Linked DNA regions of Canis lupus familiaris. The protein of the gene in region 1 interacts with the protein of each later gene in a pairwise test. Links are inferred from orthologs where the notes say so. Each region holds a gene or a part of one and is shown in the gene's direction. Other genes may lie near its edges. The genes, in order: GRB10, IGF1R, GIGYF1, GIGYF2, EGFR and RAF1.

Region 1 (5,308 bases):
GAGTGCATGACCTTTCATTGATACATTCCGTCCCAAGGTGGGAAAGGCAGGTGCTATAAAAAGTGCCATAAAGGGTTTTGACATAATCCTTATTCTGCACTGACCAGCTACTTGACCTTCAGCCAGCCAACCAACCTGCGAAGATTGGGTTTCCTAGTCTGTAGGGAGGGCGTCTCCCAGAGGTCCAAAGCGGGGTTAAATAAGACGATCAGTGAATAGTCTGGTACCAAGTGTGTACTCAAAAAGGTAAGTCACTACTGTAGTGAAACTAGCTGTTTCATTACGTTAAGACCCAGAAAAAGAGGTAGTTGCTGTTACTATTGTACTTGGGTTGGGGAGAGGTGGTAATAACCACACCAATGACAATGGTTTCCACGAATTCGTGCCAGTCTCTCTGTTATAGCCGTGACCTCATTGAACTCCCAGCACAGCTCGGGCTTGCTCCTTAGGCCCATTTCAAGGATCAGGACACGGAGGCGTGGCGGCAATATGAAAATACATAGGGCCTCCCTGCTTCCCCGCAGGTGGGGACACTGAGGCTTGGGGAGGCGAGGCCCCAGACCACGGAGTCCCTCGGGTGATGCTGCTGCTGCTGCTGCGCCCGGGGTCAACCAACAGCGCGCTTATCACGGGGAGCTGCGGAATGGGCTCCCCAACTGCCTCTCGGGGCAGGTCCCACGGCTCCTTCGCTGGCACCCGAGCTTGGGCGGCTGCGACCCCGCACCCAGGGGTGCCCGGGGTGGGGGTGGGGGTGCAGGACGCGGGGTCCTGGCGCCCCGGCACAGCCGCCCCTCCCGCGCGCCGCCCCGCGTCCCCGCCCTGCGCCCCCCCTTGCACCCTGTGCCCCCTGCGCCCCCACCCCGCCCTGCACGCCCTGCACCCCCGCCACCCTCCGCCCTGCGCCCCCCCACCCCCCACCTTGTGCCCGAGCCCCCCCAGCCCCCGCCCTGCACCCCCCTACCCGCGGCCCCCCTCCGCTCGTCCAAGCCCCTGCCCTGCGCGCCCCCACGCCCTGGGCGCCCCCGCGCCCCCCTCCGCCTCCTGCGCCCTGCGCCCCATCTGCCCCCCGCCCTGCGCCCCCCTCCGGCCCCCGCGCCCCCCCCTCCGCCTCCCGCGTCCCCGCGCTGCGCCCTCCGCCCTCCGCCCCCTGCCCTGCGCCCCCCGCGTCCCCGCGCTGCGCCCTCCGCCCTCCGCCCCCTGCCCTGCGCCCCCCGCGCGCCCCCCTCCGCCCCCCGCGCCCCCGCCCTGCGCCCAGGCCGAGGCTCCGCCCGCGCTGGCGGCTGCCGAGCGGTCCGGGCTGTGGCGGCAGCGGGAGGAGGAGGAGGAGGAGGAGGAGGAGGAGCAGGAAAAGCGTCCGGGGGAGGAGGCGGAGGCGGAGGCGGCGGCGGAGGCGGCGGCGGGCGGGGCCGGCGAGTTTAAAGCCCCGCGAGGGGGTGGGGAGCCGGGAGGAGGCAGGAAGGGACGCGAGCGGCGCCGGCGGGAGGCCGCGGGGACCCGAAGTTTGCGCGCAGCCCCGGGCGGCGGGGGGCGGGGGCCGGGACCGGGACCGGGACCGGGACCAGGACCAGGACCGGGACCCCGACCGCCCTGCGCGCCGCCCGCGCCCTCGCCCGCGCCCCCGCCCGCGCCCCCGCCCGCGCCCCCGCCCCCGCCCCCGCCGAGGGTCCCGGGGCTCGCAGGCGGCCGGGGCGGCGCCGCGGCAGGTACGGAGTTGGGCGGGAGCGGGCGGCAACTTACTTTGCGGCGGGCGCGGGCGGGGGCGGGGGCCCGGGGCGGAGGGGCCGGGCCGGCATTGTCTGCGCGCGGGCCGGCCGGTCGGGGACGCGGCGGGGGCGCGGGGCGCGGCGGGCGGAAGGGCGTCGGCTCGGGGCCGGGGGCTGCGGCGGGGGGCGGGGGCCGGAGCTCCAGCGGCCGCGGTGCGCCCCGAGCCCGGGGTGGAGACGTAGGGGGAGGTGGAGGAGAGGTGGGGGGGCCGGAGCTCCAGCGGCCCCGGTGCGCCCCGAGTCCGGGGTGGAGGGGAGGTGGGGGGGATGGAGGAGAGGTGGAGGCGTGGAGAGGAGGTGGGGGGGTCCGGAGCTCCAGCGACCCTGGCGCGCCCCGAGCTCCGGGTGGAGGGGAGGCGCGGGGTGGAGGGGAGGTGGGGGGGCGGAGCTCCAGCGGCCCCTGTGCGCCCCGAGTCCGGGGTGGAGGGGAGGTGGGGGGGATGGAGGAGAGGTGGAGGCGTGGAGAGGAGGTGGGGGGGTCCGGAGCTCCAGCGACCCTGGCGCGCCCCGAGCTCCCGGTGGAGGGGAGATGGGGGAGGGGCTGGGGTCGCGGGAGGGCGGGCAGCCGGAGATCCAGCAGCCCCGGTGCGCCCCGCGCCAGGGATGGAGGGGGAGGTGTGAGGCGGGGGGGGGGGGGGGACGGGAGCTCCAGCGGCCCCGATGCGCCCGCGCCGGGGGTGGAGGGGAGGTGGGGGGGATGGAGGGGAGGCGGGAAGGGGGAACTGGAGCTCCGGCAGCCCCGGTGCACCCTGCGCCCGGGGTGGAGGGGAGGTGGGGGGGCGGACCTCATGCAGCCCTGGTGCGGGGCTGGAGGGGTGGTGGTGGGGGGGCCGGACCTCATGCGGCCCCCGGTGCGCCCCGAGCCCGGGGTGGAGGGGAGGTGGGGGGGGGCGGACTCGCCGGCAGCCCGGGGCACGGCCGGGCCGGAGTCGTTCTTCTCGGTTCCGCCGGCGGCCCGGTTACCCCGCGGGGCCTCACCCCAGCTGTGGGCCCCGGGGCAGCCGCCGCCAGCCGGGGAAATGTGATAAGCGCCCGAGCGCCGGCCGAGGAACGTCTGATGCAACCGGCCTCCCTGGTCGCCTCTCGGCCCGTCTTGCCGCTGCCCTCCGGCTTGTGCCTTAAGGGACTCGGGCTGTTCCCCACTTCTGATCGCCTTCCCTCTGCTGGGAGATTGCAAGGAACTTTGCCGACTTTTTGTCATTGGCTGGGGGCGGAGGGGTGGGCAGTGCAGGGCAGCCACAGGTGACAGTGCCCGGCCTGGGTCGGCGCTGGGAGAAGGCTGCCTTGCAAACGTCCTCGTATCCGCTTTCATTCAAGAGATGCAGAAAAAGCCCAAACAAGTAGCGCTCGCTCGTGAGTACACAGGCGTTATTGCACAACTTTCTCAGTGCTGCTGTTTACAAGGCCGGGCCCAGAACACTTTGTTTCCGAAAACGCTGATTCAGCCGTTCGTAGCCCCCGAGGTTCAGAATTGGTGCTCTCTCTAACGTTTCGCTCAGTTTTACCAAGAACACATGTTGGTGGCGCAGCAACAGGCGCTGGCTGGGGGTTTACAGGCACGGAGCTGCTGGTTTTTCCGCCAGCGTTGACCCGGCGTCCCCCTCTTTCATTCCAAGAGGAAAAGTGGGAAGATGCTTCGGTTTCTGTAGGGGAAGGAGTTTTGACATAGGGCCGGGGCCAAGTGTCTCTTGGGGGAGTATTTTATTAAGGAGAAGCCCTGAAACCAAATGTGTTTCCAGGAATGAGTCTAGATGACTGGGCTTTTTCCTGTGAAAGATCTGAACTCTAGGATTACTTTATTGGGAACACTTGAAAGCGGAGGGCCACGCAGGCCAATCCCCAGATTACAGGGAGGGAATTTGAGGACAGAGTTACACACCCGGCAAGTGGCTCCTGTAACTGAGAAGTGCAGCTTCCGATACCCCTGGAGCATTTTACAGGGTAAAAGGCTCCTTAGAAACCTGCTCGCTGTCATCTACAGCTCGCTGAGCCCCATCCCTTACAGGTGTGGAAACTGAGGCTCAGGGGTTAGTGGGCATGCCGGGGTCACGGGCCAGCGAATGACAGAGCTGTCACCAGGGCCTAGCTTTGGATTTATTTATTTTTTATTTTTTAATATTTTGTCCTGTGTGTTTCATGCTTCTGCACAAGTATGCCTGCCTCCAAAAGAGAAGTGACCTGGAGGACGTTCCTCCTGCCAGCCACACACCTGGAGACGTAGGAGGCTCTGTTACCTGCAGGGTGGCTCCCCAGCTTGCCGATTACTGTCCTATGGCCAGGCCTTTATCAATTTGTCCACTTGCTTTTTGTACTTAAGTACACACTTACTTGGGGAGGGAACTTTGATGTCACGAGTTCGATATGGCACTTGTGCTTTTTGCAGTTAGAACAGCGCGTTCGTAAAAGCTGTGTGTCCCTAGAGTCATCAGTTGCCTGTCGCCTGTGGTCTGCGCCACTCTGGGGGGCAGTGCGGGGCTGCTGCGCAGAAGCCCATCCCTTTGTGAGCCAGGAACCCAGAGCGGAGCTGGCTGGTGCCGGCCACTTGTCTAGGGATTTACGGATGGTGGCCGCGGGATCGGAACCCAGGGCAACCCTGGCCCTGTTCCGGTGACCGTGGAGCCGGAGGGAGCCGAACTCCAAACCTGGAGCCAGCGCAGAGCTTTGATTTGGATGCGGTGGCTGGTCTGGGACATTACGAGGTTCCGCAACCAGACTCAGGCTCGAACAGAGGCGGCTTTTGTGCCTCTGGCTTCATCTCAGAGCTGTAGAAATTCTGGGTTGGTCTATCTGATAAAACCCAATGCTTTGAAGGTGGCCTAATTTAAGGAACCTATTTTCTTGGAAGTCTGTCCGTCTCCGCAGGGGAAGAAAAACCTACACCGCGGGAGGATGTCTCTGAGCTGGTGTCAGAACTCGGAGCTGAGGGGACGCCTGCTCTGTTCGGTGGGGGGAGGAGGCCGTGTGTTTGCGGGGTGCGCATGATCCCTGTGACTGTCCCTCAGCCTGGGGGGCCAATGTGGAATCGCGGGGGCTCCTAGGGAGAAAACGTTTGCCTCGTCTTTTCATTTACGCAACCAGTCACGTTCAAAATTTAAATAAAAACTTTTTCTGCTAGTGAAGATTTTTTTCTTTAACCTGTCTTTTTTTTTTTTTTTTTTTTTTTTTTTTTTTGCTCAACTGTAGAATTATGGGGAACGATAGAAGAAATTAAAGATAGTAGAGCTCCTTGGTGGGCGAGGCTTGGCAGGCAGGCTCCCGGGGATCTGGCAATCTTGTAGGAGGTCTGTGCGCTCACGGGGGGAGTACATCTCACCCATTCGGGTGCTGGCGGGCGGCTGGCCTGTGTTTGCGTTTTAGCCGCCCTCTTCTGGGGAGCTGTGTGCTCCCCTGTCTTCTCCCTGTCTGGCCTCTGGCGGGGACACCCTTGCCCCCACTGCCCGCCCTGGCTTTGAGGAGCTTCTGAACTTGTCCCTGCTCCTGGGCATCACAGTTAACTGGAAGGAGGTGAAAGCAGGGGAAGCATAAAACTGCCAGCTCCTCGAAGG
Region 2 (4,650 bases), on another chromosome or scaffold:
CATTTTTCTCATCAGTAGAAGAAGGGAATTGGACCAAATGAGGTTTCAAATTCTAGGTTTTCAAGCTTTGCCTGCTTCCTTGGCTCTTGGTCCCCTGGACTCCATCCCCTGCCTGCCATTCTCTGTCCAGTTTTTATCTATGGCTCTAACCCCACTGGACTTACCTCTCTTCTCTTTTCCCTCTCCTATTCCATTTTGTTTGTCTTGCACTTGGCCACCAGAATGTTCCTCCAAAAAAAGGCCTCCTTTGGGCTTCTCTCTCATTCAAGAGTCTTAAGAGGGGCTCATTCCTGAGATGAAAGTTTCCATCCCTACCTGTGACCTTTTATGACTTGGACTCTACCAAACTCATTTCCTTTGCTCTTCTCTACACCCCTGGCCATCCACATTGCTGTCTCTTGAGTATATATTGTTCTTCTCCCTTTTCTCTGGCCTCTGGAATGTTAATAGCCAGGGTTTTTTTTTTTTTTTTTTTTTTAAAGATTTTTATTTATTACTTAGTGGGAGGGAGGGAGGGGGAGAGAAGAAAGAGAAAGAGAGAGAGAGAGAGTGTGCACGAGGGGGGGGGGGTCAGAGGGAGAAGCAGACTCCCTGCTGAGCAGGGAGCCTAACTTGGGGCTCGATCCCAGGACCCCGGGATCATGACCTGAGCTGAAGGCAGACACTTAACTGACTGAAACACCCAGGCGCCCCTTAATATCCAGTTTTAAATACCACCCATCTTACAGCAGCCAAGGCATGTGTGGAGCTTTCCTGGGAACTGCAATAGAAAGAACCTTCTCTCTTCAGGAAGTTCCAAGGCTACCTCCAGTCTGTCCTGCTTAGCTCAATTCACATCTAGAGTGGATTCTCTTTTTCGTTTTTCCTTTTAAAGATTTTGTTTATTTATTTGGGAGGGAACGAGAGAAAGAGAGTGAGCACAAGCAGCAGGGAGAGGCAGAGGGAGAGGGGAGAGGGAGAAGCAGATTCCCTGCTGAGCAGAGAGCCTGACACAGGGCTCGATACCAGGACTCTGGGATCATGATCTGAGCAGAAGGCAGATGCCAACATATTGAACCACCCAAGCACCCCTAGAGTGGATTTTCACTGTGCACATCACTGCCAACCTTCTGCTTCATATGACCATTATTTGTCATGGGTCTTAGCTCCTGGCTTTCACCATGAGCCTCTTCAGAGGGTAGACACTGCTTCTTTGCACCTCTTACAGTGTCTTATGTGTTGAGTGCTCCAAAAATTAATGAATTACATCAATCAGAAAACTTGACTCTGAGAAGCTTTAATGGAAGGCTTGGGATTATGAAATCATAAGAAAGGGTATTAATGAAGGTTTGTAAGTGTGCCTGTATACGTGTCTATATTTTTTAAAATAAACCTTCCAGTGTTGAGGCTATTTTATCAAAAGTTTTTGAAATCTGCAGATGCCTTGGTCCAGTAATTCTACTTCTAGGGATTTATTGCAAGAAAACAGTCTTGGATATTTGCCGAGAATGTTCACTGGAATGTTGTTTATGATGTGAGAAGCTGGAATAACCTAAATATCCAACAATAGGGGATTGGTTTAAAAATATAAAAGAACTAGGGGTGCCTGAATAGCTCGGTTGAGTATCCAACTCTTGGTTTCAGCTCACGTCATGATCTCAGGGTTCTAGATCAAGCCCCGCATTGGGCTCTGCACTCAGTGCAGTCTGCTAGAGATGATCTCCCTCTGCTCGTCCCCATGCTCATGCTGGCTCTCTTTCATGTGAATAAATAAAAAAATTAAAATGAAAAAAAAAAAAGAACTCATGGTACATACTCATACTCTAGCATTACTGTCTCTAAATTGATGACATATAAGGACATTTAATGATTTGGCAAAATGTTCGTATGAAGTGAGGGAAAGTATTGTCTGATTTCCTTTATCTTAATTAAATTACTTATAGAGAAAGGATCACTGGTATAGGCACTGTTAATAGTGATTATCTTTGGATGTTGAGATATTGGTGGTTTTTACTGTCTTTTTGTTGTCTATTACCAAAACTTTCTACAAGAAGCTTGCTTTCTTGGTTAATAAATCATTTTATTGAAGTTGGGATTATATACCTCTTTTATTCATAAAAACACACATTCTTGTTTTTTTTTTTTTAGGATTTTATTTACTTATTCATGAGAGACACAGAGAGAGAAAGAGGCACAGACACAGGCAGAGGGAGAAGCAGGCTCCTTGCAGGGAGCCCAATATGGGACTTGATCCTGGGACTCCAGGATCATGCCCTGGGCCAAAGGCAGGCACTAAACCTCTGAGCCACCCAGGGATCCCCCTTGTCTTTCTATTAAATGAGCCTCAGTATCTATATTCATACAGTATTGGGGAAGAATACGAGGCCACCTGGTCTGTGTCAGATGGTAGCAAGAAATGTGGGAACTTCTGTGGGTCCCTACTTTCTAGGTCATAGTGACTGTTCTCCAGTGTAGACTAGTGCATGGTTTCCTTGAGGCTGGATGCAGTAGTAAGCTGTTGTTTCTTGGCTGCTGAGCTGTTTGTTCAGATTCTGGGCATTGGTGCTGTGCAGAAGGGGTGGGGAGTGTGCAGCCTGGAAGCTGCACTTGACTTGACTTGAAGTCTTGACTATGTAACCTTGACTCTCTTCTGTGCTTCTGTGTGACCTTGAGCTCTGAGCTGTGATTTGCACATCAGTAGGATGGGGATGGCATCTCCCATGGTCACTGGGTATGTTGCACAATATCTGGCCCAGTGTAGACACTTCATGAATAATAGTCTACACCTACGGTTAGTCTACAGCCAAGAACAGAGTCTTATTTCTTTAATAATACTAATACAGGTTTCCTGAAAACTGGCCATATTGTGGGTTGGGAAATAGTTCTAAAAATGATTTCCTTTTAACTCAGACATGTCCTGCCCTTGCCCTCTTGTCTCCCCTCAGTCTGTGGGCCAGGCATCGACATCCGCAATGACTATCAGCAGCTGAAGCGCCTGGAGAACTGTACAGTGATCGAGGGCTACCTCCACATCCTACTCATCTCCAAGGCAGAGGACTACCGCAGCTACCGCTTCCCCAAGCTCACGGTCATCACCGAGTACCTGCTGCTGTTCCGTGTGGCCGGCCTTGAGAGCCTCGGGGATCTCTTCCCCAACCTCACAGTCATCCGCGGCTGGAAGCTCTTCTACAACTACGCCCTGGTCATCTTTGAGATGACCAACCTCAAGGATATTGGGCTTTACAATCTGAGGAACATTACTCGGGGGGCCATCAGGATTGAGAAGAATGCTGACCTCTGTTACCTCTCCACAGTGGACTGGTCCCTGATCCTGGATGCAGTGTCCAACAACTACATCGTGGGGAACAAACCCCCTAAGGAATGTGGGGACCTGTGTCCAGGGACAATGGAGGAGAAGCCCTTGTGTGAGAAGACTACCATCAACAATGAATACAACTATCGCTGCTGGACTACAAATCGCTGCCAGAAAAGTAAGGATGATGCTGTTGTGGCTTTCTCTCTGCGCCTTTTACCCCTCCTGCTCTCCCTTGCCCTTTCTCCTCTTCTGAATGTGCAGGTTCTGCTGGGGGTTCTGCTGAGGGTTCTGCTGGGAGGGTGTGGTTGTGTTGCATTGAGGATGAGGCCACCTGCCCTGTGCAGGTTGGGGTCTTGCTTGGCTTCCTTTTGCATTCGGGAACTCATGGAATGCAGGACCTTGGCATGGCTGCCATCAAGAGCATCTAGATCATGTCTTGGATATAATCTGTCACCCTTCTGGGCTAGAAGCTTGCTGACCTTAAGCTTTAGATTCCAACAAGAAAGGTGACCTGGTGTGCTTGGAAGTGCCTAAGCCCTAGCAGTCAGGGACTGCTTACCTATCACCTGGCTCATCCTTTGTGGGATGGCAGGACTTCCTTTGTATGAATATACTTGGAATGTGGTTGAGTAAAGGGAAAGTAAAAATTCACTTCACATCCTGTGGAAGTGGTGACCTCCATCCTGTCCTCCCCAGTGACGGTTATGATGCTTAGGTGTGCTGGTTTATAATGGAGTACCTCACCACAATGGGAGAGCCCTGGACCAGATTCCAGGAATCCCAAATTCAGGCTGTACTTGCAGGTAGCTGTGTGATGGGTGCACTTGTACACTCCAGGCTTCCATTTCCTTTTTCCTACACCGCCCCCCCCCCGCCCCCGCCGCCCCAAAGAGTTGTGCAGATCTTATGAAATCACCTAGTGAAAAGACTTTGAAGTGTATTCACTGCTCTGGGGGGTCACGTGGTGACATTTTAAAGCTTCTTATTTACCAGTAATATGCTTATTTTTCTCTTGAGTATAACCAGGCTCTTGAATTATTGTGATCAATTACCTTGAGACCCAGGTTGTTTGGTATTAGAAGGCAAGTCTGGGCCTTTGCCGTGTTGCTTTCAGCAATGTTTAGGTATGTTGGCCAGGAAGGTTCCTCTCCCTGGTTAGAAGTCAGTGTGGTAGCTATAAATAGCTATTATTTAATGGTTGGCCCAGTTAAAGACCCAAGGAGCTCATGTATTCTAGCTAGTCATGAAGAGCCAAGAAATCCCAAATTGGTAGGCTTGTCTAAACCATGAAGTGTATAAAATAAACAAATCAAAGGCCAGACCCCACAGGTAGCTGTTCTTTCTGTTCCCCGTCC
Region 3 (5,092 bases), on another chromosome or scaffold:
CACCCAGGACACAATCTAGAAAAGTTAAAAAAAAAAAAAAGCAACAACAGTTTGTAACAAAAAAACTGTCATAAGCTTATAAGCTTTAGGTGAAGAATTCTCACCCAAGCCTGGATTCTGTCGATACATTTTTATACAGTGTTCACAACTTTATATCTTCTCTCCTGTAAAACCAGAAGCCCCCCCCCCCCCATCAGCTAACATTTGTGGAGTACTTGCCCTGTGCCAAACAGTGTGTTAAATGCTTTACCAGACAATCCAGAGAGGGAACAGATTATTTCCAAGGCCACAGGCAGTAATGAATGAAATCTGCACGGGAGCCCTTGCTTTAAACAATTGCTATTTTCCAGCCTCGCAGCAAGCGGGGGAGACCAACAGCACTAAGAAATCCTGACTGCATGAAAGTGAAGGGAACTGGGGAAAAACAAAACAAAACAAAACAAAACAGATACTAAAACTGCTAGGACAGAGAAGCCTGGGGAACACTGGTGCGGGAACAAAGGGCCTTCTGGTAGCTCCTGAGGTCTGCGCTCCATTCTGGCACAACACAAGACACTCAAGTTCTAAGTCCCACTTTACCTTTCTCCGTCCTGAGGATTACACTGTGTTTGCTAACAGCCGTTTTAGGAAGCCGGAAAGTACAGTATACATTCTGAATAACCAGCACCCCCTACCCCGCCAAAAAGGTGAAAATACACAGGGGATAAAAAACAAAACAAAACAAAAAACCTTTCACCCTAAAAAGTTCAGGGACTTGGAAAAATCTTTCTTGAAAACCCCTTTTTTAAACAAAGGAGGTGTCAATCTACTTCTCATATTTGCATAATAATTTCTCTCTTCACCGTCTTTCACATTCACCTATTTTAATTCTTCCAGCACTAGGGGAATGGAGTCGGGTGGAGGTCGGGGGTGGGGCGGAGAACAGCGTAACACCTGACCTAAAAGTGAAACTGAGGCCCCATCAACTGCTTTGCCCCCGGGGTCTAGAAGCTAGTAGTCAGTGGCGGAGCCAGATGGAAACTCTGGGTCTCATCAGCCAGTGCTGCTTCGGACACTTTCCAAATGATTAGTTCCTCACTTATTTTATATATCCCAGGACTTCTAATTAACACACCTCTGGATCGTATGCTGTCTCCTTCAATCCAGGTGGGCTTCCTGGAGGAAACCGACTGGAGAGGCGAGCCCTGCGATGCCACCTGCGGCGGCCTCCGTCGCGACGGTCGCGCGTCACGTGCCGGGAGCAGCCGGGGGGCAGCCGAGGAGTGCCCCGGGGACCCCACCCCCCACCCCGGCCCGCTGCAGGCCCTGCGTCACGTGACGAGCCAGGCCTCGGGTCACGTGCCGGGGGGGTAATTTCGGGGGCGGCGGGCGCCAGGGCTCCCCACTGGGCAGGCGGGGCGGGCGCTAGGCCGTGCGGGTCGCCGGGGACCGGGGCTACGGAGGGAGCGGCGGCGGCGGCTGCAGAGGCGGCCGCGGCGGCGGAGGGGGCGGCCCCGCGGCCCCGCGTCCGCGTCACGTGGTGCGAGGCGGGCAGCCATCTTGCTACAAACACAAACAGAGAGGAGCGGCCGCCGCGGGAGCGCCAGCGCCCCCTCCCCCGCCGCCGCCGCCGCCGTCGTCGTCGCCGCCGCCGCCGCCGCCGCCGCCGCCCCCTGGCCCGCCGCGCGCCGCCAACGCCCCGGGACCGGAGCCTCGCGCCGCCCGCCCGCCGCGGTAAGCGCTCGGCGGCCCCGCGGACCCCGGCCCGCCGCCGGGCCCGGGGCAGGCCCGCCCCCGACGCTGAGGCGGCCGCGCCGAGCCTGCGAGAGCCAGAGCGAGCGCGCGGGCCGCCAGCACGGACCCTCCCGCCTCTCTGCCCAGGCCGCTGCCGCCGTCGCCGCCCGGTGCGTCCGCCCTCCCGCCGGCCCCTCCTCGGCGCGGCCCCGAGGGAGGACGCCCTCGCCCCTCGCCCCTCGCCTCGCGCACCTGGCGCCCCCTCCCTGAAGGGCACGCCGTCCTCCCGGGCGGCCCGCCTCCTTCCCACCCCCGCGCTCCTAACGGTCGTCCTCTGGCACCTCGGCAGCCCTGCCCGGCCCCTTCCCGTCCACCCGCATCCTCCGCCAGGCCTGCCCCGGCCCCCCGACCCTAGTGCCCGGCGCTCCCCGGAGACTTCCCCCAACGAGCCTCCGGGCTTTGACCGGAATTAGCTGGGCCCTGCGGGTCTTAAAGTCCAGGCGTTCCATGACTTTGGCCAACGTGGAAGCTTTTCTTAACCGAAGCACCTCCGCTGGGTCTTCACCTAAATTTCCTTTCAGCGGGCGACATTAATGCTTGGTCATTGGGGTCTCCTTCCTCCCTGTTGCCCGTCCGTTTCTAACAGCTTAGTCTCCTGGCTACGGTCCCTCACACTTTGCCTCTTTTCTTCCCCCCGAGTTAACTTGAAAGAGACCCTCTTTCTTACCCAGTCGTTAGAATTCCTAGTAAGCTTCCCGGTCTGGTCTTTCATTGGGCCCCAGCCCTGGGAGATGCTAAGTCAGTTGTCCGCCGGATCTTTCCTCCACGCACCCCAGTCTGTCTGTCTGTATCTCTCTCTCTCGTTTCTTCTTGCTGCTTACCCCAAACTCAGCCTGCACGCCACTTCTCCACTGTCCCTTGGAGCTGACATGCCAGTGGCACCTTGGCTCCCCACCCATGGTCTCTGCATGTGAAGCCCCTTAGATACCAACAGGCTAGGCTGATCCCCTTTGCCATTCATTATGGGGAGTTTGCTCTCAGGATCCTTCATCTGTAGTCTTCCCCTTGAAGTGCCAGGCCACCCACCCCTCACCCAGCTCCAGTTTTATTTCCTAGTTGTAGATCTGTGTAATTGGGAAGGGATGAGACAGATGTGGACTTTGCATTGCTGCCGTGGCCTAGGGAGCAGGGACCTAAACGGTCCCATATGGTGATTACAGTCAAGTGAGTTCTGTTTCTAGATCTCTGGCCTGGCTTTTTGTAGCCAGTGGACAAATTAGTGTTGTGGTTTGAGGAATTCAAGGACCCCAGTTTGCCCTTGTTTGTGGTTGGGTTAGAGATAGAAAAAGCTGCCCCACTTGAGAACAGAGAAAGGGAGAAGAGGTTGCTACGTGAAGGATTTTAAAAATTCTAAGGAGAAATTTTAAATGGCTTAAAACTTACCAAGTACTTAGGGTGGCTCTTGCTGCTTGTGCATCCCTTCTCCAGTCTCTAATAGTGTGTCAGGAACATGGGGTCCCCTGTGGGGGCAGCTGCATCCTCCCTTGTTTTCCCTGGCTGGGTCCCGAGACTGGGCAAGTGGGCAGAAGGGATCAAATGAGGTAAAGTGTGAAAGCACTTTGAGAACTTAACCAGTAAACATGCCAAGGACATTATCACGATGGCTCAGAGAGGCAGGGGGAACATGGTCTTGCACCCCTTCCTGAGCCTCAGAATTATTCTACCATGCATGGAGGATCTTTCCATCCAGAGAAAGGGCGGAGTCACCTCCCAACAGGCTTGGGGCTGGGTGGTTGCTGGTTGCTCAGATGTTGGGGAATTTGGGACTCCACTTCTGTTAATAGTGGTACCTTTCTGTGCCAAGGCACATTGCTCTGGAATAGGGCTAATTTTAGGGGTGACGGAATGAGGAAATAATGTTAACTTAGTGTGTACTAGGACTGCGTATTCTTTGGATATTTTTCTTCTGAGAGTTCTGAACCCCAGAGAACAGGCTTCGCTCCTGTTCCTGCAAGCCTGTTGTGAGCATCCTGGACAGTGTGTGTCCTCTCCCCTCAACTCCAGCAGGGGGCAGCCTTTTAGTAGCAATAATTCCAGTGCCAGGGGAGGGAGGGTATGTTAAGGCCTGAGAAAGAAGATCGGGCAGACAGGGGCCTAGGGAGACAGTTAGGAGATGAGGCAAACAGATGCTGAAGGTAGGGCCATGGGGTGGCAGATAAGCTGGAGGAATAAGCCTGTGAGGAGAGCCTTAAGATTAAGAAGCCAGGAAAGAGTGCTGTCCGCAGTCCTGTCTGCTCTGCTCCTTGTCCTGGTTCTTTGCTACTGGAAAGGGACCCAAACTTTGAGAGTTTGTGATACAGAAACTTAGCAGAATTTTTTGAATCTCTTCTTAAGGATTTCTCTCCTGGCAGGAGTTCATATTTCTCTCATGGGACAGTACAATTAGGAAACAATTTCCTTGCTTGCTCACCGGAGGGGAAACTGAATTGGAATAAACTTGGTTTCTTTTGTCTTCGTTCTTCCCCATAAACAGAATAGGCTTTATCAGCACCCATGATACGAAGGAAGGGTCCTCAACCATGGCAGTGTTGATTCCTTGTTGTGGGTGGGGGGCAGTGGGAGGCTGCCCTTCATGTTGTAGAGTGTGTAGCAGCGTCTCTGCTCTCTGTTAGACACCAGTAGTGCCCTTCAGTCATGCCAACCAAAACCATCTGCAGATATTGCCACATGTCTCTTGGGGAGCACAGCCCCCCCTTTAATTGAGAACCATTAACTTGGAGGAAACATGGAGAAGACTCATGGGTGTGGAGGGTGGGCACCATGGGGCAGTGTGTGTGCTGTTGGGTGGCACTTCCTGCAGTGTAGGGAATGGCCGGTGGCCACCAGCTGCTGGGACCAGGTCCTCCTGTGACTTTTTTCCAGCTGCTTCTCTGCTTCCCCTGCCCTGACTACCTTTCCCTTGCTTCTGCAGTTGCTCTGCTTCTCACACTGGGAGCCACTCCTCAGTTTGCTCCTTACAACCAGGACACAGAGGTGAAAGCCAGGAGCAGAGAGCATCAAGGAGAGCCACCTTTGCCACTCCCTGGAAGGGAGGGAGGGTGAGTGGTCTTCTGCCTTCCATACCCAGAGGGCTCTTCTGTCCCCCATCTTCCCTCTCAAGATGGGGCTTCTGGAATGAACTTCAGGAAGCTTAGAACAGTCTTTCCTGAGGTTGGTTTGAAGGAATGTGAAGTGTTTTCGTTGGAGTGAGGAAGACTTAGGTATGCAGTAGCTATTTCTAAATGTCTTTCTTTTCCCTAGACTTTTTTTTTTTTTTTAAGATTTTTATTTATTTATTCATGAGACACACAGAGAGGCAGAGACATAAGTAGAGAGAGAA
Region 4 (4,628 bases), on another chromosome or scaffold:
TCAATACATTACCTTGTTTTATGTGTGTTTCTGTTTGAAGATGCCTTATTTACTATATTGTTGATTCCTTGGACTGAACTCCTGGCCCGCAGCACTACAGCTGCTTACCTCGCACCTGCCTTTTCTCCATAAGCATGTCACAGCCTTTTTGGAACACTAGATAGCACTTAACACTTGGGGGCCATTTTAAACAGTGACAGCACTAACAAGCAAAAATGTGAGCCTCATGACACTACGGAAACTGAAAAAAGATGATCGTTTTTACTGTATGAGAGCGGAGACAAGAAGGTGGAATACTGTCCTGTTCCACCTCAACTGGGAATGTGTTTCCTCAGGCAACTCAGGTTTTTTACTGCTCTGGACATTCACAGTTCAGGAAAACCATAAAAGCCCTGCAAGTTTTGATTTTTGGGGTTATGGATAAATTATAGCCAGTATGTAAATTTGGAAATAGGAATCTGAATAATGAGGATCAGTTGTACAAGTTTTCTAAAAGATGAGGCGGCAAGGCTCATGGAGAGCTTAAGAATATTCATATCCTTCAATCCTATAATTCTGCCACAGATAATGTTTGTTACAGCGGTCATTTCTGGGAATATAAAAGATACAGTGAAGTACATTAAAAATCCGTTTGGGTGGATGGGTTAAACAAGGATCAAGGGAAGGAAAGTAAACAGCACTAGGAGAAATAGAGAATCAGAAGGGAAAACATCGTCTTTACATTTGTGAAGTGGCTGCTCCTGTGTGCTGAAATTGGAGGTGGGGGCCCACGCAATGTGTGCATATGCACATGTAGCCAGGCTCGTCCTTCCATGGTCATTTCTCTACTCTTCCTTCTCGTCCCCCACTGCCACTACCTGTGCCTTCAGCTAGCTCACTGAATCTGATCCCAGTTTAAAATGAATTGTTCTAATAAGGGCAACACTAAGTATGAATGGCTGGTAAACTATTTTGTAGTTGAACCAGTTGGTAGAAAGTATATGGATATTTTGGGGATCTTCTGGGATTGCCAATGGGAATAAAGTACATAATAATTTTGTTTGGTAACATACTGCCAGCTAGTCTGCAGCCTCTGTCCTCTCTGTCCTGGGGCTCAAGACAGAGGAACCTTATGTTTTGGTAGGTGAGGGGTGTAAATTGCTTGAGTACAGAGGTCTATTTTTGATTATTTGCTGTATATTTAATTTCATAGTGGCTGGAGACTCTATGTATACCAGAGAGGTTCTGACAGTTGTGTTGTCACAGTGGGGTGGAAACCTAGAGCTACCAGGATAGGCCTTTTGGAGGCACAGAGCTTAAGTGGGATGTCTGAATCTAAATGAAGGGAAAAGATGGCTCAGTGGACTCCTCTTGGTTTCATTATTACTGGAATCCATGATAGGCTTTCTGTTTTTAATCTCATACTTGATAAGGTGAGGACTAATCAACCATGTTCCTGTCGTGGGCCATACTTGCATCTATTGTGTAACCCCAATTGTGACATCTTCTCTCACAGGACTCTGTGTGGGGAATGAACCACAGTGCACTCCATTCAGTATTTCAGACCAATCAAAGCAACAACCAACAATCCAATTTTGAGGCCGTACAAAGTGGCAAGAAGAAGAAAAAGCAGAAGATGGTCCGAGCAGATCCCAGTTTGTTAGGTGAGCAAAGCCAAAAATCTCAGCTGGGAGTTAGAGGTGTGCAGGTTATAGCAATTTCCTATGTGAATCTCCTGATAGAATGTTTTTCATAAAGGGAAATATTTCTTATACAAAATTAATTTTTTAAGCCACTTCAAAATAAGTAATATTTACTGGGCACATCAGTGCAAGAGTGATGCCTCGTGTGCTATAGGGAATAAGAAAAGTAATTACTTATACTTGTGTGATGCTTTAAACTTTGAAGCCTTATTTCATATATTCTATGAATTTCCCTAGAAGGCCTTTCAGTGTAGTTGGAAAATAATGCTAATGGAGAAAAGGAAAAGTTGTTAAAACTTAAACACTGATTTGTATAGAAACTGACCATAAGTCTAATCAGGTATTCAAATAACTAATATTTGCTGATATTCATTATATATGGGTGTATATGTATATATATATAGAGAGAGAGAGAAAGAGAGAGAGAGTGTGTGTGTATATATATATATATATGTATATATATATATATCTATACATATATATATATATATTCAGAGTCATTCTGCATTATGAGATCATGTTCCACTTTACCAGTGAGTAAACCAACGCCCTGAGGGTTTAGAACATTTTCTAAAGTCACACCATTATTTAGCAGTGGGGCTGGGATTTCAGAGAAGGCCTGTTTTCTTTCCACTCTTCTGTTAGCCACAACTATTCACGTCTAGCCTTGAGAACCAGAGTCTTCACACAAGACAGCTTCATGGAAACAGTGACACCAGAATTAGGGCTTTGAAAGACTGGCAGGAAGGACAGGCAGTGGTGTTTCTGGAATAATAAACAGTCTAGGCAAGCAGATGCAGACTGCTTGTGTTTCTTAAGTTGGCCAAACAGCTTCACAGACAATGATGAAATTAGAATGATTCTCTGTTTATGAGTGTCAAATAGACTATTAAGAACTGTGTTGTCCAGAGCAGAACGATTATATTGGCAAGATGGCAGGTTGGAGTGTTGGCCCAGGCAGCAGGCTGTGGTATAGACCAGGTAAAAGATCCTGGTGGCCTGGAGAATAGGTAGGGGTTTTGGTAGTAGAGATGGAGAGGAGTTAGATGGGTTTCAGAAACTTAGGGAACTGAATTGGCTGACAAGGGGAATGGAAGGCTTTGGGCAGCAGGGTGGGTAGTGCTGCCATTTGCTAAAAGGATGAGCCCTGGAAAATGGAGCAAGCTTAGGGGGATAACAACACGGTGTTAAAGTGTGTTGTGTGGGTCCAGTGTGGACCCAGTGTGGAATGCCTATGGGACTACAGATGGAGATCCCCTTGTGAAAAAGTAGAGAGCACAGCAGGAAGGAGATTGCCATCCTACCTTGCCCGTAGTAGGGTCTCTGCCTTCCCTCAAAGGTCTCCTACAGTGGAGAAAACAAAATGTTAGTAACAGAAACTTAACTTTGAGGATTGCCCTTTGGAACTGGGGCCTGAAAGCTGGCTTGGGAGCAGAGAGAGACCTGGTGAAATTCTGTTTTCTTCTGCCTGTCTCAGAATTGTATTATTAAGTTACTTATTTTACCTGCCTCAGAAATTTATGTTAAGAATGGATGGAACAGTCTAACATTTTACCCAGTTTTGACAGAAGTGGGTGAAAATAGATTTACAAGTGCCTCTGAAATTCTGGGTGTGGCTTCTACCAAGAAGCCCTTTTGCTGTTTAGCTGTGTGGCACAGGAACCGTGGACTGTCAGGGGGGTGAGGTAAAAGTTCTCTGAATTAAATATTCAATCTGATTCCATCCCCATTACAGATACCAGAAAGAAAGGGACTTAAAACTCTCTTTGGGGGAATGAGGGTTATTTTAGGAATAGAGTTTAAGGAATACATATTATGTTGAAGGAACAGAAAAAAATATATAAGGAAAAGGGAAATAAATATTCAACAAAGTATTGAGAGAACTCACTTGTGTAGGCTTGGACCTTTTTATGAAAATGTCTTCTCAACTGAATCTCTATCTGAAAATTGCTCTGATGATTACTAACTTCTGCCCCTTGCCTACTCATTTCTACTTACTGCTATTTGTTTTATTGATTCACAGATTGAGAAAAATTAACAAATGTCTGTCATTCACAGTTCCCCATGTACAGAATGAGACAGTTCTAATTTGATCCAAAAGCATCCATTGAGAAAGTAGTCACTAATTAAAAGAGAACTTTGCTTCTAAAACAGACCATCAGGGGATCCCTGGGTGGCTCAGCAGTTTAGCGCCTGCCTTTGGCCCAGGGCATGGTCCTGGGGTCCTGGGATCGAGTCCTGCATCGGGCTCCCTGCATGGAGCCTGCTTCTCCCTCTGCCTGTGTCTCTGCCTCTCTCTCTCTCTCTCTCTCGCTCTCTGCCTCTCGCTCGCTCGCTCTCTCTCATTGATGAATGGATAAAATCTTAAAAAAAAAAAAAAAAAAAAAGATCATCAGGGAGGCCCAACCTCATTTTAATGATCCATCGCCTCCATTGTACTCTGTCTTCCTGTAGTTTTTAGAGCTGCCAGATGCCATTGTGAACCAACATCCATTACTTAGATATGATAGATACACACGATGGCATTTTTTTTTTTTTGAGATTTTATTTATTTATTCTTGAGAGACACAGAGAGAGGCAGAGACATAGGCAGAGGGAGAAGCAGGTTTCCTGCAGGGCACCTGATGCAAGACTCGATCCCAGGACTCCGGGATCATGACCTGAGCCAAAGGCAGACACTCAACCACTGAGCCACCCAGGAGTCCCAGTTTGTATTATTACATTTCCACTTTTAGCACATGTAGCTTGTTTTTATTGCAGTTTATCTTTCTTGAGATACATGTGAAGTCAAAACCCTGCTTCGAAATAAAGTAATAGCTCATTTCATAGGCTGTTTGGTCTTTATGTTTTTATATTTATCTAATTAAATTGTTATTTCCAAGTAGGGACACTAAGCCTTTTGTTATTTTCAAGGAAAAAGTCGTGGGTTGTGGGAACACTGTTGAT
Region 5 (4,650 bases), about 3.9 Mb from region 1:
TGAGAATCTCTTTGTCAGATTTTTTTGAGAATTTTGAGAATCTCTTTGTCAGATCTGCCTTGGAAACAGTCTAATGCTGAGAACTATCACCCATTAATTGACCCCTAAGACAACTACGTAATATTTTTGAGAATCTTTTTGAGATCTCTTATTTTTTGAGAATTTTGAGAATTTTGAGAATCTCTTTGTCAGATTTTTTTGAGAATTTTGAGAATCTCTTTGTCAGATCTGCCTTGGAAACAGTCTAATGCTGAGAACTATCACCCATTAATTGACCCCTAAGACAACTACGTAATATCATTCAATATTAAAGAAAATCTGAATAGAGTATACATAAAATACATAATCGCTTTTTAAAAACCATCTTGGCTGTGCATGTCTTGTACTAACCATGGAGCTAACATTGCTTCCCTGGAAAGACCCTTTGTTCTAAGTTCTTAACAATATTTCTTTTGCCCAAGATTTATACAGAGATAAGAGATTTAGATCAATTTTCTTGGGTGACTGGCATGTACCACTTGGCTTAGTTCTAGGAATTTAAACAAATTTAGAATTACTTTGTTTTCTTTTCACATTTAATGAGAAATGGAGGGGCAGGGTGGCCACTGGCTCCAGGTATGGCTCACCAGACGAAGGTGACCCCAGCTTTGTCCCAGTGTCTAGGCTTCCGTGAGCACATGATGAGAGAATTTCTAAAACAGTGGTGCTGCTGGTCTCCTACACAGGGCTCCTCGCTTTCCTCAGGAGCAGGCTGTGGAAAGGGAGGAGGAGGAGGAAAAGGTTGAGGGAGAAACAGAGACAAGGAGAGAGGAGGAATCTCCAAGTTAAACTTTTGTCATCCTGTGTATGATGTCTCCTCATTCGGTGCTGTCTCAACTAGTCCATTCCCTGTCTTGGTGTCCAGTGAGCTTCCCAAAAATGCAAGTCTCTTTCCTATGGTTTCCATCATTTGCAGACCACAACCGAGCTCAAGGTGTCCAAGTAACCGGACACTTCTTCCAGGCTTCTGCTCCAGCAGTAGCTCCTGGTTCTCAGCACCCATCAGCTGCTTTCTTGCCTTCCTGCTCCTGTTCAGGACTTCCCTCCCTTCAGGGTGAATGACTTTTGCCCAATCACTTGATGGAAACCTATTGATAGCCTTATAGAGTTCTAGCACAGAGTTGGGTGGTTCAAATGATTGTTCAGTAAATGGATAGATCGATGAATCAGTGCATCAACAGGTGGAGGGATAGATGGATGAATGGATAGATGAATCCATGGATGAATGGATAGATGAGTGGGAAGGTGGATGGATGGGTAGGTGCATGGATGCATAGATGAGTGGACAGATGAGTGGATAGATAGTTGGGTGAATAGGTGAATGGACAGATGAATGGATATGGGTGATGGATGGATGAATAGAGAGGTGGAAGGATCGATGGATGCATATGTGCATAGATACATAGACAAGTATACGGATTGATGAGTGAGTAGATAGATGGATAGATGAATGGGTGGATGCATGGGTGGAAAAGATGAACCTATGGTTTTTGAAGCGTATTTGGATATTTGAGAGGTTAGAACATGCTCTCTATTCCCAGGCACAAAAAAAAAATGCAGTGCATATAATAATGATATTAACGTTTATTCAGCCCCCACAATGCCACTGGGGTTAAAGATACTAAATGAACAAGGAACAGGCTTTTCCCTGGAGGAGCTTTAAAAAAAAAACTCTTATAATTTTCAGAAGTTGTGATACAGACTTCCTGCAATATGACTTACAATCAGTGCGAGGCAGTTTGTAGTAAACAGAAGGTGGTCCAGAAAATAAAAATAACGTTTTTAGTGATATAATCTTTTCATAATTTTTAACAACGTTATGTTTCTTCTCCCCGCGACAGTGGCCAGTTTTCTCTGGCGGTCGTCGGCCTGAACATAACGTCCTTGGGATTACGCTCCCTCAAGGAGATAAGCGATGGAGATGTGATCATCTCTGGAAACCGAAAATTGTGCTATGCAAATACAATAAACTGGAAGAAACTCTTTGGGACTTCAAGTCAGAAAACCAAAATTATAAACAACAAAGATGAAAAAGCCTGCAGTAAGTAATCACTCTGGTTGATTGTGGAGATGGTTCACATGGATCATTTCTTTTGATTTAGAATATTCCCAAACAGGGCACCTGGGTGGCTCAGTGGTTGAGCATCCGCCTTTGGCTCGGGTCATGATCCCGGGGTCCTGGGATCGAGTCCTGCATCAGGTTCCCTGCAGGGAGACTGCTTCCCCTCTGCCTGTGTCTCTGCCCCTCTCCCTGTCTCTGTGTCTCTCACGAATAAATAAATAAAATCCTTTAAAAAAATTTATTTTAAAAAGGAATATCCCCAAACATTTAAGTTACATTTTTCATTCCTGAAGAAGCAGATTAAAAGAAATCTGTATATTCCTAAATGTGAAGTTATCGTGTAAAGTTCATTGGAATTGTTTCCAAATCACTCACATGTCATAGGATGGATTTGCCTTGAGATTTAAGCTATCAATTATTTATTTATAATTTACAGAACTGAGTTTTGTATACATTATCTTACCTTTTAGCCTCTGATGAACGTAGCTAGCAACACATACACACACGCACGTGCACACACACACGTGCACACGCGTGCAGGTAGAATGAACATTTACACTGACATTTTCTAGTCTGAGTTTAGAGTCCCAGGCAGCTCTTGAAGCCAGGCGTGCCCGTTACCTGGTCACTGGGAGAAGCAGATCTGAGGTCACACCCTGACTCTAGCCCTTCCCAGCTTCCAGACTGTGGTCAGTTTACTCAGCATGTGTAGGCCTCGGCTTCCTCAGTGATTCTCACTGCTTGGGAGAGAATTAAATGGAATTTTACATGTAAAACTCTTGGCATGGTGCCCAGCACACGGCAAGGCCCACAAACCTTCCCTGTGTTTCCATCAGCTATGACATTCATCCGCAAAATGCTACCCAGCTCCAGGCCAGGAACCCTTGACTCCCCGCAGGGAAGAGGAACTTGTAGTTGGCCTCTGGAAGCCCGTTGTGTGTCATCGCTTCTTCCAGGCCCCCCCACCCCACCCCGCCATGTCCATGCAGCTCAAGGTCACAGAGAGCCCAGCATCCCACTTACAGGAGCGGTCTCAAGTGGCCCCTCCAGTCACTGTGCCATAGCTGACCCCTTGTGTCTCGGTCTGTCTTCTCAGAGGCCATAGGCCACGTCTGCCATCCATTGTGCTCCTCAGAAGGCTGCTGGGGCCCAGGGCCGAGAGACTGCGTGTCCTGCCGAAACGTCAGCCGTGGCAAGGAATGTGTGGAAAAGTGCAACATTCTGGAGGGGTAAGGCTATCTCTTAACCCCTTTTGTTTTCATTAAAAAATAATAATAAGGCGATTGTTTTTATAGGTTTACAGTTACTTCACTTTGAAACTTATCCTTTTGTTTTTTTCCCTTTTTCTTTGGTCTTTATTTCTTGACAACTGTTAATCACAAAAGGAAATGAACAAACTTTTTTCATTACTTAATCCTATCCACTAATTTAGAGAGTCTCTATTTTTGGAAATACCTGATAATTTTCTCAGCCACACAGAGTTCCCAAGACAAATGGAAAAGTCAGAAATGGTTTGTGTGGCCAAGACCACAGCCGTTTAGACTTTTCTTTGGAATTACTCTTCCTGGCATGTCAAAATATCCTAGTATAAATTACATTTCCCGGTTAATTTGTTTCATGTTCAACAAATACCAAACTGTGCAAATAACTTTAAATGTAACCATGGACAAAGAAATAAACAAGCATATAACATAACCATTGTTAAATTTATTTGCCATCAATAGAAAGTCCAATCTGTTGCTTCTGTGGGAATCTTGATACTGATGTCAAGCTTTTTGCATGACCTCAAATAATGACTAAGAATAAATTAATAGGAAAGTAAAATTGAAGGATAGAGAGAGGCAGAGGTGCTTTTTTTTGTTTTTTAATGTAAAGAAAAGGGGAAATTTTGTGAGAGAGAAGAGCCATGGGAATTACAGATGGCTACAGGAACCATCCTTCTTGTTCGCTTTCAGCGCTTGGGCCACAGTACGGATCCAGAAATATTTAGGAACAGGATGAGAAGCCCAAGTCCAACTCTGTAGGAATCCTTTAGCAGGTGCGCTCGGTCACCTAACAGAGTCCTTTGTATAATTGACAGTGTTGCTTCAACAAGTAAGAAATATTGGTGCAATCGTTACTGCTGCAAACAGACATGAATCTCATGGTTTCCACATCTTCTTAGAGAGAGAGGAAATTAGAATAACCATGAGGGTGGAGCCTTTCTGTTAGAGAACCCTGGTGTCTTGCTGCACTTGCTCGGTTTGCATGGCTGGCTTCTCCAGCAGGCGTGTAACCCGGAGAAGGAGGGAAGGAAGAAAAAAAAAAAAAACAATTGGGCATATTTGGTTTAAATGACATTAGGGAGGATTTATGGACCATGTTGTGGGTGTAAACACTGTGTATTCACTGGAGTGAAGACCTGTAGTTAATTACCAGGCAGAGGCAGATTTCAGTGTTAAAAGCTGTCACAACTATTTTGCCTTTTCAATCAAACATCATCTTCTTGCTTAACATCCATCTAGACATCTTTGAGGAATAGCGAAACCATCACAAGCAAAAATTTTCAT
Region 6 (4,650 bases), on another chromosome or scaffold:
TTTCATTTGCAAGGTGATTTTGCCTATTGTTACTCATTAATTTTCTTTAACCTTAAATGGAGCCCAGATGGGAAGTGTGAATGTAACGGGAAGCTGAAGGCAGGCTGAAGACCACAGGAAGTTAGTGTACCTGTCTCTCTGATTCTTTACTACCACGTTGCCTAGAAGAATGAAAAACTTTGTTTGGCATAATGATTATGTGTATGGACCTCTAATACAACCAGACCCCAATTTAAATCCCTATATTGCCTTCTATTAGCTGTATCATCTAGACAAGTTACATAATATTTTGAGCCTCTTTTTGCTGACCTTAATGAAATGAGGCTCATGCTAAGTACAATAGCTAATTTATAAGTAAAATGGTAGCTATGATTATTTGAGTTTTTTCTACATCTGTGTAGCTTTCGACAGCTTTCAGTTGAGCACAGCTGGTAGTTTGGAACCAGTGATTTAGAGGCTTGACTCCTCTTACAGCTTATGAGAAGGCTCTAGCAGATAAAGTTAGTTTCTCCTATTCCTTTGATCAGAGATGGACCATTGCTCTCTGGAAGAACCATATTCTTTCAGCAGGCATCCATCTTTAGGGAAGCATAGGAGGTAGGAGTCCCTTGCTGGCCAGCAGGTTGAGTTAGTATTTTCTAATCATCCTTAGGTTGCTTCACTGCTTGGAACCCAGAATGACTCATAATCACTTAGTGGGTTCCAGAAATTAGTCAGATTTAACTGAATTCAACATGTGTCCACGGAGAGTTGTAGAGAGGAAAGTGACCAAAAGGATATGTATATTATTTAAATAGTTGTAGATGTATAATTGGTAGTTGATTGAAAAACCTTGTCATTTATTTTGTACATATGTGTACAAATATGTACACTGCCTACTTATTGGGTGGGTGCTTAGACCACAGCTGAGGACCATTAATGACCATTAGAATCAGGGGATCCCTGGGTGGCGCAGCGGTTTGGCGCCTGCCTTTGGCCCAGGGCGCGATCCTGGAGACCCGGGATCGAATCCCACGTCGGGCTCCCGGTGCATGGAGCCTGCTTCTCCCTCTGCCTGTGTCTCTGCCTCTCTCTCTCTCTCTCTCTCTCACTCTCTGACTATCATAAATAAATAAAAATTAAAAAAAATGACCATTAGAATCACCTGACACAGGTTAAAATATAGATTCTTGGGCTTCATTCAAAATCAGGTGAAGCAGAATCCTTGGATGTATTGGAGTGGGGAGGCTGGGAATCTATATTTTCATAAGCTCCTTGGATGATTCTAATGCCAGCCACATTTGTGAACCCCACTGAATTAGAGGATATTTATTTAAAGAACTGTCTAACTCTTAGAGTCTGTGACTTTTTTTTTTTTTGGTACAGATTTTATGTATTTATTCATGAGACACACAGTGAGGGGCAGAAACACAGGCAGAGGGAGAAGTAGGCTCCTCGCAGGGAGCCTGATTTGGGACTCCGTCCCTGGAGTGGGATCACGCTGTGAGCCAAAGGCAGACACTCAACCACTTGAGCCATCTGGGCGTCCTTAGAGTCTGTGACTTTTAATGAAGATTAATGGTATAACACAGCACTATAGTTTTCAAGGCCCTGTTGCACAGTATTTGATGCAAGTAATGATTTGGTTAGTGTGTATGTATTCCTTTTCATTGTCCTCATTCTTGATGTCTTGTCTTCATAGTTCAGATTCATATATCTCACTTAGTTTTGTTTCTGAAAAGCAAGAAGTTAATGGATCTGAGAGTATAACTGCTTCAAGAAATCTAAAATAAAGTTGCCATGGAACATTTTAAATACTTCAGACTTTTAAAATGGATCCAAACATACACTCACCTCCTCTGGATTGGCCACTGTCAGCTGTCACACTTTCACTGAGCACAGGAACTCTACTGTGGGCAATTCACAAGCCCTGCAAATCTATATTCTGTTCTCCTACTGGCCGTACTGACTCTAGTTGCCTCACTTTTAATTAACTTTATTGCCTTTGAAAACAAAATGTATGAGGGGCTCCTGGGTGGTTGAGTTGGTTGAGAGGCCAACTCTTGATTTTGGCTCAGGTCAAAATGATGTTGATGTTGTGGGATCGAGTCCTGTGTTGGGCTCTGTGCAAGGTGTGGAGCCTGCTTGGGATTTTCTTTCTCCCTCTTCCTTTTCCCCTCCGTTTCCACCCCCCCCCCCTTTTGCGTGCTCTCTCTCTCTCTCTCCAAAAAATAAAAGAAAAACAAAATGAATGGGGCTTTTATAAAAACTTTTAAAGTCTTAGTCGAAATTTTATATAGCTGCTATTATTAGCACCCTGACTACTCACACTTACACTGGGTCTCTGAGTACCTGCCTAGCTTTTGAAGATTGGGTATGGAAGAGTGTGGAAGGACATACACTGAGGCTACCTGGAATGGTGTGCACATTTATTTAAATTAGTAGTGTTTGTTTTTGTAGCAGGGCAGAAGCTCTGTTTCCTCTCCTTGCTTGCCCTTACAGTTGTGAAGTGTGTATGAAATGGAATTTTTGTCAGGAAGATAAATCATCTTGTTTCAAACAGGTTGAAATACAAGTTTTCGTCAGAAAAACTCTTGTTTGCTTATAGATTAGATTGGTTTATTTTCCTTTCTGGTGGATGTTCATGCTTGCATGTACATTTCAGCAAGTTTTTTTTTTTTTTAAAGAGATTTTATTTATTTATTTATTAATGAGAGACACAGAGAGGCAGAAACATAGGCAGAGGGAGAAGCAGGCTCCCCTCAGGGAGCCCGATGTGGGACTTGATCTGAGCTGAAAGCAGAGCTTAATTGCTGAGCCATCCAGGTGTCCCTCAGCAAATTAAAATAGAGTTGTGTGAAGGGAAGTTTGATCATTTTATCTCTCTCAGCCACTCTCTTGATGTTAATAGCTAGAGATATATCTTTTCAGACTCATACAACATATATAAATATATATAGGTTTCCTGCCCTTTGAATAATCTCTTTGTATTATTCTGAAAAATATTTTCTCATAATTAACATATGGGCACCCCTCCCTCTAGGTCATTGTAAATAATATAGTAGTGACATACACACATATTCTAGGCTTTATCCAAGCCTATTGGACATTAGGCTTTTACCTATTATTGGACATTCCAGCTATTTTCTGTGTGCATTTATATTTACCATTACAAATAATGCTGTCATAAATCTGCATATATCTTTATAGACTGGTACATTTATTTCTTTGCTCACCAAGGGATGTGCAGCTGTTGTTGGTTCTAAAGATGGTCTTTTGTTTGTAGGTCAATGTGCGAAATGGAATGAGTTTGCATGATTGCCTTATGAAAGCACTCAAGGTGAGAGGCCTGCAGCCAGAGTGCTGTGCTGTGTTCAGACTTCTCCATGAACATAAAGGGTAAGAAATTAAAAGTCAACTCTTTTTTCATACAAGTAAGGAAGCTGATGACTTCAAATAATAATAGTTCTTTTTTTAAAAAGTATACTAGTTTCCTATAGAATATTATGTATTTATATTCCCTTGTGCATAGACAACTCAGAAAATTAAAATATTAAGAACTTGAAATTATTGTTTAAACATTGCATTGAGAAAAAGAATACATATTAGGTGTTGATAATATTCCATAAATGGAAGCAGTAGTGTCAGGTAATGTTTTCTTTAGAGTAAAAAATTTTTCTGTTTCCTGGAATGCAGTGGACAGAATGGGTACTCAGAAAGTGTTTGCATTATTATTTATAGTTAAAGAATCTTATCCTCAAGAGAGTAATAACTCTTATATAATTCATTTATTTAAAAGTTTTTACCTAAGTTATCTCTCCATTCATTGTGGGGCCTTGATCTCAGGACCTTGAGATCAAGAGTTGCATGCTTTTCTGACTGAGCCAGCCAGGTGCACCTCATTCATTCATTTATTTATTATATGGTTAATGCTTACTGAGTCCCTGCAATTTGGCAGACATAGGACTAAAAGATGCAGGAGAATTTCTGCTTCAAGGAAGATCCATAGTTAATCTTAGTTCTAATGGTGGTGGCAAGATAGAAGCATCCCATCAAAGGCTAGGAGCAATATTCCATAGCTTCTATTATCCATTATTATCCCCCTGAATTTGGGGGGAGTAATCTCTTGGAAAATGCTAGTTTCTTCTTTCTTCTTGGAAAATGCTAGTTCTGCTACTGATCTCCAGCTTGCATTTTTTCTGTTTCAAGGAGTTCTCCAGTTTGAGGGAATAGTCTAGGAAATGAGTCAACTCAAAGGGGCCAATTTAGATTCCGCTATACTACTCCCTCTATCTTAGGAAGCAGTTTGTTGAAGTGTAGATCTTTGAAGCAGCAGATGTCAGCATTATCTGGGTTTAGGCCCCAGGTTGGTCCCAAGCTAATCTCTAGTGCCTATTAAAGACTAGAGGGATTCTGGGACAGTGAGGGGCTGTCCACTCTCCTCTAAGGCCACACTGGTGTAGAGCTGCCTTAGCTTTTCTCTTAGACAGATGGAACCTGAAGACTGATGGAAACACAGAGCTGCCCCTCTCTCTCTTCATTAGGGCAAAACATGATCTTGGAGTCCTTGTATAGGGAATTATATTAAGGAATGAGTTATTTGCTATGGATAACCAAAAAAATGGCTGGAATAGGCTTCTGGTAGGCAAGGGAGAAGTTTGAATGTGTATG

What was found.
Region 2: the proteins of GRB10 (region 1) and IGF1R interact in a two-hybrid assay, tested with the Homo sapiens proteins (4 studies listed by BioGRID and IntAct). The link is inferred for Canis lupus familiaris from reciprocal best matches to the Homo sapiens genes GRB10 and IGF1R.
Region 3: the proteins of GRB10 (region 1) and GIGYF1 interact in a two-hybrid assay, tested with the Homo sapiens proteins (2 studies listed by BioGRID). The link is inferred for Canis lupus familiaris from reciprocal best matches to the Homo sapiens genes GRB10 and GIGYF1.
Region 4: the proteins of GRB10 (region 1) and GIGYF2 interact in a two-hybrid assay, tested with the Homo sapiens proteins (2 studies listed by BioGRID). The link is inferred for Canis lupus familiaris from reciprocal best matches to the Homo sapiens genes GRB10 and GIGYF2.
Region 5: the proteins of GRB10 (region 1) and EGFR interact in binary tests that used the Homo sapiens proteins (3 or more experiments, as listed by UniProt). The link is inferred for Canis lupus familiaris from reciprocal best matches to the Homo sapiens genes GRB10 and EGFR.
Region 6: the proteins of GRB10 (region 1) and RAF1 interact in a two-hybrid assay, tested with the Homo sapiens proteins (2 studies listed by BioGRID). The link is inferred for Canis lupus familiaris from reciprocal best matches to the Homo sapiens genes GRB10 and RAF1.

The regions. Positions count from the first base shown.
Region 1 is NC_049239.1:2,207,272-2,212,579, reverse strand, and holds the start of GRB10 (growth factor receptor-bound protein 10), read left to right. Parts: upstream 1-1,639; 5' UTR 1,640-1,703; intron 1,704-5,308.
Region 2 is NC_049224.1:42,230,839-42,235,488, forward strand, and holds part of IGF1R (insulin-like growth factor 1 receptor), read left to right. Parts: intron 1-2,924; coding exon 2,925-3,470; intron 3,471-4,650. UniProt on the Homo sapiens protein: Receptor tyrosine kinase which mediates actions of insulin-like growth factor 1 (IGF1). Binds IGF1 with high affinity and IGF2 and insulin (INS) with a lower affinity. The activated IGF1R is involved in cell growth and survival control.
Region 3 is NC_049227.1:8,962,445-8,967,536, forward strand, and holds the start of GIGYF1 (GRB10-interacting GYF protein 1), read left to right. Parts: upstream 1-1,652; 5' UTR 1,653-1,713; intron 1,714-4,684; 5' UTR 4,685-4,811; intron 4,812-5,092. UniProt on the Homo sapiens protein: May act cooperatively with GRB10 to regulate tyrosine kinase receptor signaling. May increase IGF1 receptor phosphorylation under IGF1 stimulation as well as phosphorylation of IRS1 and SHC1.
Region 4 is NC_049246.1:44,630,016-44,634,643, forward strand, and holds part of GIGYF2 (GRB10-interacting GYF protein 2), read left to right. Parts: intron 1-1,490; coding exon of another isoform or gene 1,491-1,492; coding exon 1,493-1,643; intron 1,644-4,628. UniProt on the Homo sapiens protein: Key component of the 4EHP-GYF2 complex, a multiprotein complex that acts as a repressor of translation initiation. In the 4EHP-GYF2 complex, acts as a factor that bridges EIF4E2 to ZFP36/TTP, linking translation repression with mRNA decay.
Region 5 is NC_049239.1:6,117,136-6,121,785, forward strand, and holds part of EGFR (epidermal growth factor receptor), read left to right. Parts: intron 1-1,880; coding exon 1,881-2,080; intron 2,081-3,197; coding exon 3,198-3,330; intron 3,331-4,650. UniProt on the Homo sapiens protein: Receptor tyrosine kinase binding ligands of the EGF family and activating several signaling cascades to convert extracellular cues into appropriate cellular responses.
Region 6 is NC_049241.1:6,018,206-6,022,855, forward strand, and holds part of RAF1 (RAF proto-oncogene serine/threonine-protein kinase), read left to right. Parts: intron 1-3,265; coding exon 3,266-3,378; intron 3,379-4,650. UniProt on the Homo sapiens protein: Serine/threonine-protein kinase that acts as a regulatory link between the membrane-associated Ras GTPases and the MAPK/ERK cascade, and this critical regulatory link functions as a switch determining cell fate decisions including proliferation, differentiation, apoptosis, survival and oncogenic transformation.